Linked DNA regions of Saccharomyces cerevisiae S288C. The protein of the gene in region 2 interacts with the protein of the main gene of each other region in a pairwise test. Each region holds a gene or a part of one and is shown on either strand. Other genes may lie near its edges.

Region 1 (5,836 bases), on a different chromosome or scaffold from region 2:
ACCAGAAAATCAACAACGTGTCCCAATCATTACAATTGTGAAGTGCGGTACTCCTGCAGAGCAGGGGGCCGCCAAACCCGGTAACAGAGGTAAGCGTGATTCTCAAATTATTCTGATGTCCTTTTTAGAAAAAATAACATTTGATGAAAGAATGACTCAATTGGAATTTCAGCTTTTAAAAAATATTTGGCAGATTACGGGGCTAATGGCAGACTTCTACGAAACGGTACTTATGGTTGATGCTGATACTAAAGTCTTTCCCGATGCTTTAACTCATATGGTCGCTGAAATGGTTAAAGATCCTTTGATTATGGGTCTTTGTGGTGAGACCAAGATCGCTAATAAGGCACAATCTTGGGTAACTGCAATTCAAGTGTTTGAGTACTATATTTCGCATCATCAGGCTAAAGCTTTTGAATCTGTCTTCGGTTCGGTAACTTGTTTGCCGGGATGTTTCTCAATGTATCGTATAAAATCTCCTAAAGGTTCAGATGGTTATTGGGTACCTGTATTGGCAAATCCAGATATTGTTGAAAGATATTCGGATAATGTTACAAACACTTTGCATAAGAAGAACTTATTATTACTTGGTGAAGATAGATTTTTATCTTCATTAATGTTAAAGACTTTCCCTAAGAGAAAGCAAGTATTTGTTCCAAAAGCTGCTTGTAAAACTATTGCCCCTGATAAATTCAAAGTCTTACTTTCCCAGCGTCGAAGATGGATTAATTCTACGGTACATAACCTTTTTGAATTAGTTCTAATCAGAGACTTATGTGGCACTTTCTGTTTTTCCATGCAATTTGTGATTGGTATTGAATTGATTGGTACTATGGTACTGCCGTTAGCCATTTGCTTTACTATTTATGTCATTATTTTTGCCATTGTATCAAAACCTACACCCGTAATCACTTTAGTTTTACTGGCAATTATTCTTGGTCTGCCCGGCTTAATTGTTGTTATAACTGCTACGAGATGGTCGTACCTATGGTGGATGTGCGTATATATTTGTGCTTTGCCTATTTGGAATTTCGTACTACCTTCATATGCGTACTGGAAATTTGATGACTTCTCATGGGGTGATACGAGAACTATTGCGGGAGGTAATAAAAAGGCACAAGACGAGAATGAAGGTGAATTTGATCACTCAAAGATTAAAATGAGGACATGGAGGGAATTTGAAAGGGAAGATATTCTCAATCGGAAGGAGGAAAGTGACTCCTTCGTTGCATAGACAGTATGAAAATATTTTTACTGTGATACTTACAAGTTGATATATGGTTGTGTGTAACTTATTTATTTGAGAGGTATTTTAACACACCTTAGAACTAAAACTTAATAAATAAATATTTCTCTATCTTTAAAGGCACATATTACGTGGCTAAGGCAATTACAGCTGATATACTGTAAAACTCATGTCGCCACTAAATTCTTCTAACACGCGTTCTGTCTCTTTCCAAGGGACTCCGAATATGCCACTATTTATCTGTGGCATTTCCAATTTATATTCCCCTATTGGGTATTTGATGTGGCCGTTTAAATAGTCACCGATTGAATCTTCACTTGTTCGAGTTTTGTCTTTTGCTTCTCTAAAGGTCTTCAATTTATCTAAAGCAAGTTTTGTATAATTCAAAATACTTTGCTTTTCTCCATGACTTGAACCTCCAAATGATGATGTAAACAAGCAACAAATCAGCAGATCTGAGTTTTCGTAACTGGGAAGTAATATGCATTTGCCTAGTAAATTAGAACCATACTTTTCGCATACTTCAACGTAATCTTTCTCTGCTTTTGGGTAGCGCAAAGCAAGTTGATAAGCGATCCCACCACCCCACGAGCCATTGCAGTTGCAAGAATGGATGAGGATCCTAGCATATGACTTTGGTTTTAAGATGTTACCTTTGACATAAGTGATGTTCGACATACCTGTAACTTGATGCTATATTTATCTTGGAGAAGATACTAATAAACTCAAACTTTTCGTGTAGAAATCTGGGCTTCAAGTTCGCATAGCATAACGAATCGTAAAGTTATGCATATGGCATAATACAACAATTATCCATTTTTTCTCGTGTGTAAAAAGAGAAAGGAGAGAGGAAAGAACGCTAAGCCATAAAGCAAACAAAAAATCGAATGAAAGTGAGTGAATATATTAAAACCAGTGAAATTAATGCTCATTGAAGGCCAAATGCACAAAGTAAATGCTAAAGAGAACGTAAATAGAAGTAAGTAGTATAGATAAGGATTAATATCATTACACATGAAAATTTGAAAAATATTTCAGATTAATGCAGAAAGTGATGTAGATATGGAGAGCTTAAATGAAAGTCTTTTCGTGTTCGTGTTCGTAGACACTAATATTGTCATCTACCAGGTCATCCCTCTCAATTGTGTCTTTCCACTCTTCTTCAAAATCATCGACATTGGCCCATCTTTGGAACCAGCCCTTGTCCTTTATAATGTTGTTAACAGGGCACCCAGGTACAGGGAAGAAGTAACACAGAGCAGTATAAGAAGAAAAACTCAAGCCATATCCTACCCAGTAACTTAGGTAATATAGTTTCATAGCTCCATCAGAAACCTTTATAGCGGGAGCGCCCACCTCCGCGATGAAACCGGGCAAGCAAGGAGCCACCCCACATAGATATGCAGCCAAAGCTCTCCAATTGATACCAAACCTGTTTCCGTACATATAAAAAGAGCCCTTTTGATGGGAATATATGTGTGTTAGCTTGATATATCCTCTTCTAACAACAAAGTAATCTGAGCAGACAACACCGGCAATACTGGACAAAAAGATAGCATATGCGGACAAAGCCATTGTAAATTTACTTGATGTTGCCATTAAATTCCATGGACAAATACACAGCGCCATGGCTGCACAAAATAATGAACCACGCTTGATATTGATAAACTTGGGGAAAATAGCGGACATATCAGTTCCACACGATAATGAGTTTGCAGAAATATTAGTACCTAACTGAGCTACGGCGAAAACAAAAGAGATTAAGAAAACACCAGCTCTTGTGCCCTTATTATAAGTAGTCTGTAAAAATTTTTCTAGCACATCGAGTGGCGACCAGTAATTAATACCGTATATTTCATAACCAGCTGCGGTGACTAGAATTCCAATTAAACAAGTGATGGAAAACAAAAATGGAATGCACACTAATTGGGACCATAAAGCGGAGTTAGGGTTTTTTGAAAATCTAGAGAAATCTGGAGCGTTGATTACCATTGTGGAGAAATTAGCCATACAACCCATTAGTGATCTTAGAAAAGCCCACGAAAAGGCAGAGCCATGAGGTTGTACATCGGTTAAAGATCCTAAGGCAATACGCCCGTGAGCTCTTCTGATAGCCCAAATTAAGAAACCAAAAGAAGCAAACGGAACCAAGACGGCTTTAACAGTAAACAGGTGTCTAATTTTGTGAGGTGGAACCAGTAAAAATGGAAGACTGGCAGCCCAAAAGATAAAAAAACACATGAACTCGTAAGTAGTAGCATTCGGTGATCCAAAGTGATCTGGGATTTTGTCTTGTAAATCTTTTCCAAAGATAGATTTCAGCATTAATGATACGGGAGTTGCCGCAATATAAGCTTGGACACTATACCAAACGATGGCCATGACGACTCTGTTAATAACGGGCCATAAAGAGAAGAAAATACCGAATGATGCTCTAGATGATATAGGGAATGACAAATGATAAGCAGATCCAACTCTAGAGGCCAAAACAACAAAAGCACCAACGAAACCGTACCCAATCCAAATTGTTATCCAACACTGCCACCAATTTAGACCCAGTTGTAGACCTGTAGCTGCAATTTGCCAAGTGTTGATATTGAAACATTCAGCAAGCCAGAAGTAACAATAATTGTACCAGGACCAAACCCGCCTTTCTTTTTCGACGGGCTTCAAGTCCTGGTTGTACATAAATGAATCCAGAATAGAAACACCCAAGATTGATTTGTCAACGACCACATATTCATAATAGATTTTCTTCCAGAATGAGCTGTATTGAGGTTTTTCTGAGCTTACTTTTTCTTCAAAGCTCGATGCCTCATAAACTTCGGTAGTTATATTACTCTGAGATGACTTATACTCTTTTTCCAAATCCACATTATTTGGCGCAAAGGTCTCATTGGAAGATTCCATAAGTTGGCGAGAGTTCAATCTTTTTGAAGAGCCGCTTAAATGTAATGATAGATTGTCTGGCATTATTCCCTCCTATTCTTATTATGCGTAGGAATGTCTTCGAACCGAAAGATCTTCTCTATGGGGTATGCTTTAGAGTGAAATTAAGAAAGGAGTTTTATACAGATGATACCTAATCATCATATAAGTAAGAGAGAACAGAGATTTAATGGAAAATGGAAAAGGGCAAATTGGCGCTGAATCAAATAGTTTATTATATCTTTACAATTTGTCCTGATTTTGTCCTTGTCTAACTTGAAAATTTTTCATTCTGATGTCATACGACTTTTTTCCGGTCTAGGAAATCGGTGAAAGCTTTTTTTTTTTCCTATCTTCTTGTCCATCGGAATTTTTCTGTCATTTCTTTTCCTCCTCGCGCTTGTCTACTAAAATCTGAATTGTCCAAATTCAGTACAAAATTAATCAGTAGGACAAAGGGTTCTCGTAGAGTCCCCGGAAAAAAAAAAGGACAAAAAGTTTCAAGACGGCAATCTCTTTTTACTGCATCTCGTCAGTTGGCAACTTGCCAAGAACTTCGCAAATGACTTTGACATATGATAAGACGTCAACTGCCCCACGTACAATAACAAAATGGTAGTCATATCATGTCAAGAATAGGTATCCAAAACGCAGCGGTTGAAAGCATATCAAGAATTTTGTCCCTGTGTTTTAAAGTTTGTGGATAATCGAAATCTCTTACATTGAAAACATTATCATACAATCATTTATTAAGTAGTTGAAGCATGTATGAACTATAAAAGTGTTACTACTCGTTATTATTGCGTATTTTGTGATGCTAAAGTTATGAGTAGAAAAAAATGAGAAGTTGTTCTGAACAAAGTAAAAAAAAGAAGTATACTTATAATTCATATAGACAGCTGCCCAATGCTGGTTTAGAGACGATGATAGCATTTTCTAGCTCAGCATCAGTGATCTTAGGGTACTTGACCTTGTAGAACTCATTGGCAAGGGCTTCTTTTACCTTTTCTATGTTGCCATTTGGGCCCCCTGGAACCAAGTGAACAGTACAACCACCCCAGCCAGCTCCGGTCAAACGGGAACCATATGATCCATTTGACAAAGCAATGGAACAAATTTTGTCAATCTCTGGACAAGAACATTCGTAAAGTTTATCGCAAGAAGCTTGAGACTCGTTCATCAAGGCACCAAATTGCTTGAAAAAGTCTTCGTCGGCAGTAAAGCTCGCTGTAGTCATTAATTTCACAGCCTTCAAGACTCTTAAAGATTCAGAATACACATGCTTAGCCCTCTGATATAGCTTTAAGACTTGAAATCTCACTGGAGATGTTGTTAAGTAGTCTCTTGTGAATTCTTCGCGAGAACAATTCAAGGATTGTGCGACATCGTCAACACTAAAGCCCTGTTTCTTATTGGCGAGAGACTCTTCAACTAGTACTAGCATCTTTGTTAACCGTTCGATGCCGGATTCAATATCGCCGTTCCAGGGTGTGGAAATGTTGTGATATCTGGCATAATAAACGTTCATGAAATCTCTTAGATTACCTTTATTCGTGCTCGATCCTTCTTTTCCAGAAAGTAAAACAACACCGTACGTGGCAGCTAAAACATTTGCAGCTGTAGTGACTTCTACCACTCTTAAATTATAGTTGGTTGGGGCGG
Region 2 (9,844 bases):
TAACATAAAAAACACAGGAAAAAAAACGTCGTTTATTATATCAGGAGTAAAGGATTTCTGCCCAAAATGTCAGGAAAATTACGATATAAAACGTACTATAAGATAACAAGCGGCTGAATAATTTCTGAGGTCAGAACCATAAGGGTACTGAAATACTATGTGCTAGATTTTTTATTTATTTTCTTTTTCTGATTGATTATCGTTTGGTTAAAATCAGTATGATATTATATATGACTTGCTTTATAATATATCAAACCGACATAAAAAATTATCCTACTCAAAAAAGATCATGGTTGTCCCCGCGTTTCACTTCTGTTATACCATGCAAATTTTTATATCAAATGAGTAATTCTTTCATTTCTTTCGGGACCCTTTACGAAGTAGTTGTTATATCTCCACTGGCAAGGCCACGAACTGACAAAAAAGGCATGATATAAATTGTGAGAAATTGTGAGTTAATTTAATAATTATGCGACGAGATGATAGAAAGGTAAAGACGACTTTTTGAGCCGGATCTGTTTACGTCAGTAAATTCTCGCGCCCCAAGACGTTATGAGGCATAAAATTTATTGCGTTCAGTTTTCTAAAGAGCTCACTATCGGTGATAGAAATCTTTCTTTTTTATTATCTTCTTGTCAGTAGTAATGTATAAGCACCAATATTGAAATGTCCAATTTTTTCGGCTCTTCCCAAGAACTTCAAGAGAGCAGTAGTATGGAAGAAAGTATTGTGAATGATACACAAAACGGTTTAAATACTCCAATATTTCAAAATGAAAGAAATTGAAAACCGATTTTGCCATTAATAATGATTGCTTATTATCCTTTAGTGAAGAAGTTTGTATTGAACTTCAAAGCTGATTGAAAAATCATTATATTTGAACACGTCGTGAGAAGACATGTGTCCAAGTGCATAGTTATTTAAGGCTTCTACGCTGCTTTGTCCTTTTATTACACATTATAATGAGTCTTCAAGATATTTGACTCAGTATGTATAAGAGAATGCTTCCATTGAGATAGTAAGATGATACGTATTGTTACAATACTTGATAATAAGATGCGTTAAAATATTAGTTAAAATGTTAGCTAAAGTTGTACAATTATTCAAGTCGGTGGAACAATAACACTCATTTTATATTTAATTTGTAGGCTGGTTAAATTTAATAACACTTCTTAGGGCTCTATTTTTATGAACAGGACATCATATTATGTAGGCAATAACTTCCGAACTTCGTAATTGATTTAATTGATAATACGACCTATCGTGAATATGCTAAAAGTTCTTTTCGAGGATATAGAGATTCTCGAAGAGAGAGAGATATTCTAAATAACAATATACATATATATATATATATATATATATATATATATTCCTTTCTTGCTTCTTTTTTGTACATTATGTAACTATATTTCTTTCTCATTCCAAATATTCAAATGTACAGGTATTTAATACCGCCTCAATTGATTTAGCGGTATTTTATTTTCTAACAGCTTAGTTATAATACTAAATATACAAAATATATTAGAAGCTCTTTCTCAAGGATATAGGAACCTGCCAAGGAAACCCATATTTCCACATAATGTTACTATTATTATTTCTTCTATTTTTTATGTTGTCATTCATTATCCTATTACATTATTAAATCTTGCATTTCAGCTTCCATTAAATCAGATGACTGTTTTCAATCCTTTTTTATCTTTCTACTCCGTCTACCACAATATAATAGCTTATGAATACTCGCCGGTAGATTATAGTCGATTCTTATTCCAATAGTTTGTTCCTCCAATGACGTTATAACTAATCATAAAGCAATATAGCTAAATTAGGTACCTAATCTTAAAAGATTTTCAGATTTAAACTAATCCTTGTTGCCTATCTTAATTTGAATATTTCTGTATTCTCGCTTAAAAAACATGATGCTGATTATATCTGTTAGTTCAGGTATTCTTTTTACTCCTATATTCTTCTCAGTCATGACGAAGTGTATGTTGTTTTACGGGTACGAGTAATACCGGGGTGTCTTGAAAATCCCAATATAAACAGTCAATGGAAGTAACCAGTTGTCAGAACGGATTATCAGCTTTTCATGGGATGTTACTTATCCTATATATTATATAAAATATGGATCATATTAATTGGTGGAAGCGCCGAACCTCGGATCTAAATTAATTGCTCAGGCGTCTATACGTTTGGGTGGTTAAGCTAAGGGAGGCGAAGTTATATGTCATGTTGCTCATTCTGTTCGTTTTGTTATAAGGTTGTTTCATATGAACGTTTTAGGATGATGTATTGTCATACTGACGTGTACCACTCTGAGAAACAACAAAATAACGGTTTACTGCTTCTATGGCCAAGTTGGTAAGGCGCCACACTAGTAATGTGGAGATCATCGGTTCAAATCCGATTGGAAGCATTTTTTGTCGTGCACTTTTGCTATATAAATATTTTTTGAGCGTCAGCGACAAGTATCTTTTTTTTTGTTGTACAAAGGACTCTTTCAATTGTTTAGTCAGTCATTGGTGACTTGTAAATAATTAGATTAATTAAAATTGCTATTAAGTAGAAAGTAGAAATATATTTAAAAATGGTATTAGTTCTGTACAGGCTTCTTCCCTCTGTGTGGAATTACTTTGGTGATAATTTTAAAGACCTTTGGCCATATTCTTGCCACGTAAGTTAAGTAGTAACCAGCAAACATCGCAAAGAAATTGAAACCAACAAAAGCCCATTCAATACCAAAGTTCCTCCAAACGTGGTCGTAACTCATATTCTCATTTTTCAGGAAGTCATCGCCAACAGTGTACGTACAATAAGCGCAGACTGTGAAAGTGTTCTTATTATGTAGATAGCCACCGTATTCTTCTATGAAAGCTTCCATAAATTGGCCACAAGATTGCCCCGTCAGAGGTTGACCAGGAACCATCTCCGACATGTCACACTTGATTTCCCAGTTATGCAATAGAATACTAACAAAAGTTTCCACAAAATATGTGTATGGCGAAACCCTGTACATGAATTTCCAAAAAGTTGGAAACAAAGAGTATGGTTGCATAACACCACAGAATGATGCTGTAAAACTGTAAATAAACGCAACAAAAACAGCAGCAGTTTGTAGATTAGGAGCAGTATAGATCAGCCATAAACCAAGAGTCGAGTAATAAGCAGCGAAAAGCATATAGTTTAAAAAGAAAACACCGGCACTCCAGCCAGCGTTGTTAAATCCACAAGAGAAAAAGGCACAGACGAAAAATAGTGTGGAACTTGTAAGTGCCAGTGGTAGTTCAATAATTGACTGTGACAAAAGAAGAACAGTCCAGTGATAAGTGTTAGATCTCGCCTCCCTAGCAACATAAACTTCCTTTGTTTTCAAGGCTTTGTCCTGAATTTGATTGATCAATGGAGATGAAACACAAAGAGCCATGAAACAGAAGAAGATACTATCCTGCAAACCGATAATATTATGCTTAATGTGCCAAAATGAGAAACCGATAAACAAACCAGCGCCACCATTCAAACAGTACTTGGCCATGACATAAGTCATGTCTCTTTTCGTACAAATATATTGTCTTCTTGTAATAAGAGCTAATTGCTGTAAGTAGGAAGGCTGCTTCCACAATGAGGTTGTGTAATCAACACCAGACGCACGAGCATCATCTTCTAACCTAGCTGTTTCTTTTTTAACTAGTTTCTTTTCTACAGAAGATTCCCATAATGCACTCCAATCTATGGCTTCTTTGTTCAAAGTAAGAGCTTCCTCCGCTGTATCTTTCCCTGCCGAGGAGTTACTGTTACCTACTGCATCAATGACGAAATCTGCAGGGTTATCATGTTCTTTATCGTAAACGAGCGTGTTGTCATGAGACATGAAATAGCCGCAGGCATCGTCCATTGGTCCAAAGAAGACACATTCACCACCCCTTTTCAATAAGAAAATATTGTCAAAATGGCTGATGACACTTTTACTAGGCTGATGAATGGTACAAAAAATAGCCTGACCCTGTAAAGAAAGTTGTTTTAAAAATTTGACGATTGTTAGTGCAGCCTCAGCGTCCAGCCCAGAGGTTGGTTCGTCTAGGAATAATAAAAGTGAAGGCTTAGTAACAAGTTCAACACCGATAGATAAAAGCTTCCTTTGAGTCGGGTTTAAATCAGCGACTAAAATGTCAGATGGCAATTTCAGTAAATTTGAAACAGTGTCTAAGTATGCCCTGTCACCATCACCTCTCAAAAGACATGATATTTCCAGAGATTCTTTCACAGACAGCAAATCTAGATGCAAATCCTGTTGTTGAACAAAACCAATACTTCTCTTAAACGCGTCCTCATCTGTCAATGGGTGGCCATCGATCAAAATTTCGCCGCTAACAACACCTGTCTCAACTCTTTGTGATAAGACATTCAGCAAAGTAGTTTTACCTGCACCGGACTCACCCATTAAGGCGGTCAAACCAGAACTGATGAAACCGGATGCATTATTAATCAGTTTCTTTGTACCAACTGTGTAGTTGATATTTTTCCAAGAGATGATATGCTTTTGAGTCTCTACTGTTTCCGTGATAGGTTGCTCGTTATAATCGTTTAGAGCCATTTCCTTATTTGAGGGTGATATCTGATATGGAACAGCCGACAGGCTAGACGAGGAAGACGAAACGGAGTGCGACTTTGGGATACCAACATACTTACTGTCATTTCTTGCAGAGGACCTGGTACCTCTCTTTTTATTCAAAAATGGTAGCCATCTTGTCAAACGACTATTGTTGCGCTCTATTTCATCCTTATTGAAATAAGGCTTAATATATTGAGATGCAAACAGAGTACAGGCAATAAAGAATACTAGGAAACCAATGATAATACCAAAGTTTCTCCACACATGATGATACGTGTAGGATAAACCTTGCTTCAAGTAATCACGGCCTCTAACGTAATCATTACCCAGAGTAGCACCTTGCCAAGCACAGGCCTTATGGGAAAATGGAACATCGTTGTAAGTAGGACCTCTTGGAACAATTGTCTCACTACAATCCAGCTTCAAATTGTAAAGCTCATTAGACAGTATTGCCTCCATAGCGTACATTGCAGGATTTAGATAAGCAATCCATACAAACCAAGGATGCATATTTTTCAGGTAGATGACGTAAGAAGCATACATTGCTATAGCTAGTAGCAGAATACCTGCAAATAAATTTGCAACTGAAATGGTTGGAGCAACTAGTGTCGTCAAAGCGAATAAGGACACCATACAGAAATTGTAAAAGGAAAGGAACAGGAGGAAAATGAAAAATCTTGCAGCCTTGTATTGCAGGTGAGCAAGGAAGTATAGGATGATACTGAATACAATTACCAAACAAAGTTTAAAGCAGTAGTCGAACACTGTTGTTGAAAGGGTTTCAACCCAGTTAGTATAGAAGTGAAGTTGGGATTGCTTTTTAACGACGGGTTGTCTTTGGAAGGCAATAGGCATATCTGCAAGAGAAAGAAAAGTGAAGAAAAGAATGGAGAAAAAGGTTAAAGAACCTCTTGAGTATGAACCAATGGTAGTCAACGGAATTTCGTAAAACAGTGAACCAATGACCAAAGATTGAATAACGACAGAAATAAATTGTGCCGTCATATAAGCTTTATCACCCAAACTTCGTTGAAAAGCTCTTTTTGTGCAAAATAATAATTGTTTCTTCAACGGAATATTAAAAATAGGTGAGACATCAGAGGGATCCACTTCCTTAATGGAGTCATCAATTGAAGACCCCTGGATTTGCTGCTTTATATTTCTATAGTACGAAGAATGTTTCCATTGATCATATAAATCGAAATCAGAATTATAAGTATACTTAGTGACTTCCCCTGTTGCGGTTTTGAGAACGCTAGCAGATGATGAATTTGATAAATTCCCCAAATTTTTATTTTTGAACTGAAAATTTAAGATAGAGGTCAGATATTCAATAATACAATCGTTAGGATCTTTCTCAATACCTAAAGTGTCACGAAAATAAGTCAAACACTCATCGACCGTACCATAGAAAAGCTGGTAGGAATCGGATAGCATAAGAATCTTGTCAAACTTATCAACAATTTTATCACTTGCCTGGGAAATTCTGACTAAGTTTACAGAACGAGTAGCTTTTGCCATTTTTCTAAGAATTTCCAAAAAATCGAGAGCTGTGGCGGAATCTAAACCTTTAGTAGAATTATCCCATAGATAAACGGAACCATTAGCAATAAACGTTTCAATAATAGAAATACGTTTACGCTCACCACCAGAAACACCACGGAAAAAATCATTTCCTACAATAGTTTTCAATACATGAGACAGGCCGAATTCTCTTAGAAGTTCATTTCTTATTTGATCGCGCTCACCTTTTGGAATATCGAACTTACAACTCAAGGCAAAATCAATTGTTTGTTCTACCGTTAGAAATGGGAAATGCACATCTTGTTCATTATTGTAAATGATTTGGTGGGGACATTTTTCGGAAAAGCTCTTAAACTCATTATTTTTAAATTTAATCGAGCCTGGAGGAGAGTATGACAAACTAGTTTTACCATGAAACAAAGTCTTAAATAGAGTGGATGTGGGATAACCCAAAACCAAAACCATTTCACCAGCCTCTGCTTGGAAGGTTATGTCATTTAGTTGATTTGCCGGATTCGGCATGCTGTCCTCAGCGTCATAACTCTTTTTTGACTCGCCTTGAGCATCGGCGCCAAATTGAATGTTCGCGCCATTGAAAGTGAGTGACCCGTCAGCAACGGGAGTGAAGTACTTTGAAATTGACATATTAATTCCAGAAAAAGCAGACTGCAAGGACTGAGAGATGAATTACAGCAGTCTTTACTATTCAGCTAATGCCTTCTCAAGTATGTTTTTTTTTTTTTCAATATGGATTTTTATGTCCAATAACTATTCAATAACTGCTTCACAGAAACGGTACTAAGGCTAGGGAAAACTTTACTTTTAGAACTGTTCAGTGCCTTAGAAATAAGGCAAAGGCACCGTCTTTATATTCGAGTTGGAAAATAAGAGTAGAAAGGACACACATTTGTGTTTTGCTCTGTCACATCGTACAGGAGGTAAGCTGCTGTGGCTGTAGTGACACTGAAAGGGACGCTGCTGATGAGCTCGTTTACAGTTCATCTAGCCTGTATATGGAGTGATCTTCAGGCACTCTCTTTGAAACTACCGTAGTTAATCGAAAAAAGGACCTGGAACGACAGCGCGTAAAAAGAAACGAGGAGCAGCAGTGCCTATAAGAGAATTCTCACTTTTCTATTGTTTAGTAAAAAGGTGTGCAATCCCCTTTGCCTACGAAGGCACATGACAATCACGTAAGCAAACGACGCTCTCTATTGTAAACCGTTCGTATGGCTTACTTTGCTCCATAAAGAGGAGGAAAGCTACAAATAAAATAACCTGTATGTACATATTACTCTATATGATTTAAGCTAATGACAAGGGGATATATGCAGTCTAATATTAGAACACGGTTTTTGCCCCTATGTTTCTTTGGATGTACTACTGCACCTGTATGCATCTGGCCTTTCGTTTATTGAGGGCAACTATGAGGGCAGAAGCTTTTGTGAAAGTTATATAAAGAAGAACTATCACAGAGGAAGGGAGGGACAATATCTATAGCGACAACGATTACGCAACGTTTCCTCCATATTGTAGTGATAAGTCAATGAACAGTGAATCCTAATTGATATGAAGTTATTGTTACTACAGTATGAATAAAGTTATGTTGAATAACATTGCTTTCTTTTTGATCGCTTCCTGAAATTGGTGCAATGGGAGCGAATTCCAAGTAACTCGTATAATTTTTTTTTTTCATAGGCCTGCGTGCTCTTCAACGTCAGGCATTAAAAAAAAAGAAACTGAAAACAAGTCAAAACAAAATTCGACCAACAACTACGAATCAAATTAAAACAAAACTTAGTCAACAACTGTAGTGCGTTGGCTGCTAATAATACGTTCTTGTAAGTATAAAAAGCAGACCTTCACCGCTTAATTGCTTTCTAATCATTTCTCACTTCTCCTTAATTAATTAATAAATTTGAAAACTGGTATCCTGTGCCAAAACATTTTCAATCAGTAGGTAAATAACTGTCCTTTGGTGAGGAAAAGTTAACTGCGCGTAACTATTTATCAACTATCCCTATATTTGTAACGTCAAATTACAAAATCGTATTTTAGTAGTCTTGCAAATGGTTTTCTGTTCCCATTATAGCAAAGACACCGGGTGACCATACTTTTTTGTAAACAAGAAACTTTTATTTTTAAAATCAAGTTCTCTGACTGTCAACACTAATGTATGCAGACACGACAAACAATTCATGTTTTGCGTACAAATAGTTCCTACTAAGTTCGGCATACATAATGTAGGCGTAATCTCTAAAAGTAAAGGAGAACTTGAACGATACTAAAATAATGTAATGTTGGAAAAAAATAAGGTATCAAATCTAACCATTTCACAAGGTACTCAAAAAAGATCCTATGTGAGTTAACAAGAAACTTAAAACAATCCATTACCTGCCTAGTATAATTTTTTTAGACCAGAATATGACTCCATAAAACGTGAAGCAGCAGCTAGAAAAACGACGCCTCGGCGGAGTTTGCGTTTAACTCTCATGTGCGGCCAAACAGGTGCGTAAGAGCTGTGACTATTTAATTATGTAATATTTACGGAAAAAGGAGTGGACAAAAAAGGCGTGAATTTTACTCCACTGGCGGTAGCCGCCTATAAAGAAATTGATAAGAGGCGTGCCTCTTATGCGATCTTCGGACCAACAACAAAGCACACAATAGCGCAAAGTATACACAATAGAGAGCCTGTAGGAAAGCAGTGGGGAATGTCTTGGCTTTTTTTATGCCCAGAAAAAAATAAACGTAACGTTGGGGAACTACGCGCAATCATATTTCATGGCCTCCCCACGGTGCTTAGAGCAGCGCGTTGCCTACAGAAACATCTTTATAAAATCTTGGCCGGCCAAGATTCCCAAACGAGACTCACATTTCCCAAAAAAGACATTTCTGTCCAAAAGTAGAAGGCAAGAAAACCCTGGAGGAATCATAGGCAAAGAAAGAAAAGAAGAAGTTCATCTTTAAAACTACCTTTCAAGCCTTTATTCGTTCCTCGTAAAGGACACACGAAAAAAATAAACAGTACCTTGCAGAAGGAGTGCAGAGTTAGGTCGCAGGGAATCCTTGAAAGCCAAGAGTTTTTTTTCCGTAATGATCTCCCAAAGCAACCATCAACATTGTGGTGCAAAGTTTAGTGTAAGATGTTCTACTGAACTATCTTAATAGCTGAGCATCATGTGAGTAAACGAGTAAGCAAGAAAACAACAAAGTAATGTTCAACTTTCGTAACTACGGAAAATAATATATAAGTAGTTAACGAAATTCGAACAATGAGAGCTCTCACATATCATCTTCTTTTCCAGTTTAGCCATTATCAGCACAATAATACAAAACACACTCGTACACTCGCTTCAACTATAACAAAAAAATGGCTTACATCAAGATCGCTTTATTAGCTGCTATCGCTGCTTTGGCTTCTGCCCAAACTCAGGAAGAAATTGACGAATTGAACGTTATTTTGAATGACGTTAAGTCCAACTTGCAAGAATATATTAGTTTGGCTGAAGATTCTTCATCTGGATTTTCCTTAAGCAGTCTGCCATCTGGTGTTTTAGACATCGGTTTAGCTTTGGCTTCCGCCACTGATGACTCCTACACTACTTTGTACTCTGAGGTTGACTTTGCTGCTGTTAGCAAGATGTTGACCATGGTTCCATGGTATTCTTCCAGGCTTCTACCAGAATTGGAATCCTTGTTAGGAACTTCTAC

What was found.
Region 1: the proteins of AUS1 (region 2) and FUR4 interact in a protein complementation assay, tested with the Saccharomyces cerevisiae proteins (one study listed by BioGRID).

What each region holds. Positions count from the first base shown.
Region 1 is NC_001134.8:279,826-285,661, reverse strand, and holds FUR4 (uracil permease), read right to left. Parts: upstream 4,220-5,836; coding exon 2,318-4,219; downstream 1-2,317. Other genes in the region: chitin synthase CHS3, read left to right, coding at 1-1,234; POA1 (ADP-ribose 1''-phosphate phosphatase), read right to left, coding at 1,391-1,924; GAL1 (galactokinase), read right to left, coding at 5,055-5,836. UniProt on the Saccharomyces cerevisiae protein: Transport of uracil.
Region 2 is NC_001147.6:346,610-356,453, reverse strand, and holds AUS1 (ATP-binding cassette sterol transporter AUS1), read right to left. Parts: upstream 6,776-9,844; coding exon 2,591-6,775; downstream 1-2,590. Other genes in the region: YOR011W-A (uncharacterized protein), read right to left, coding at 596-802; TIR2 (putative GPI-anchored mannoprotein), read left to right, coding at 9,504-9,844. UniProt on the Saccharomyces cerevisiae protein: Transporter involved in the uptake of sterol.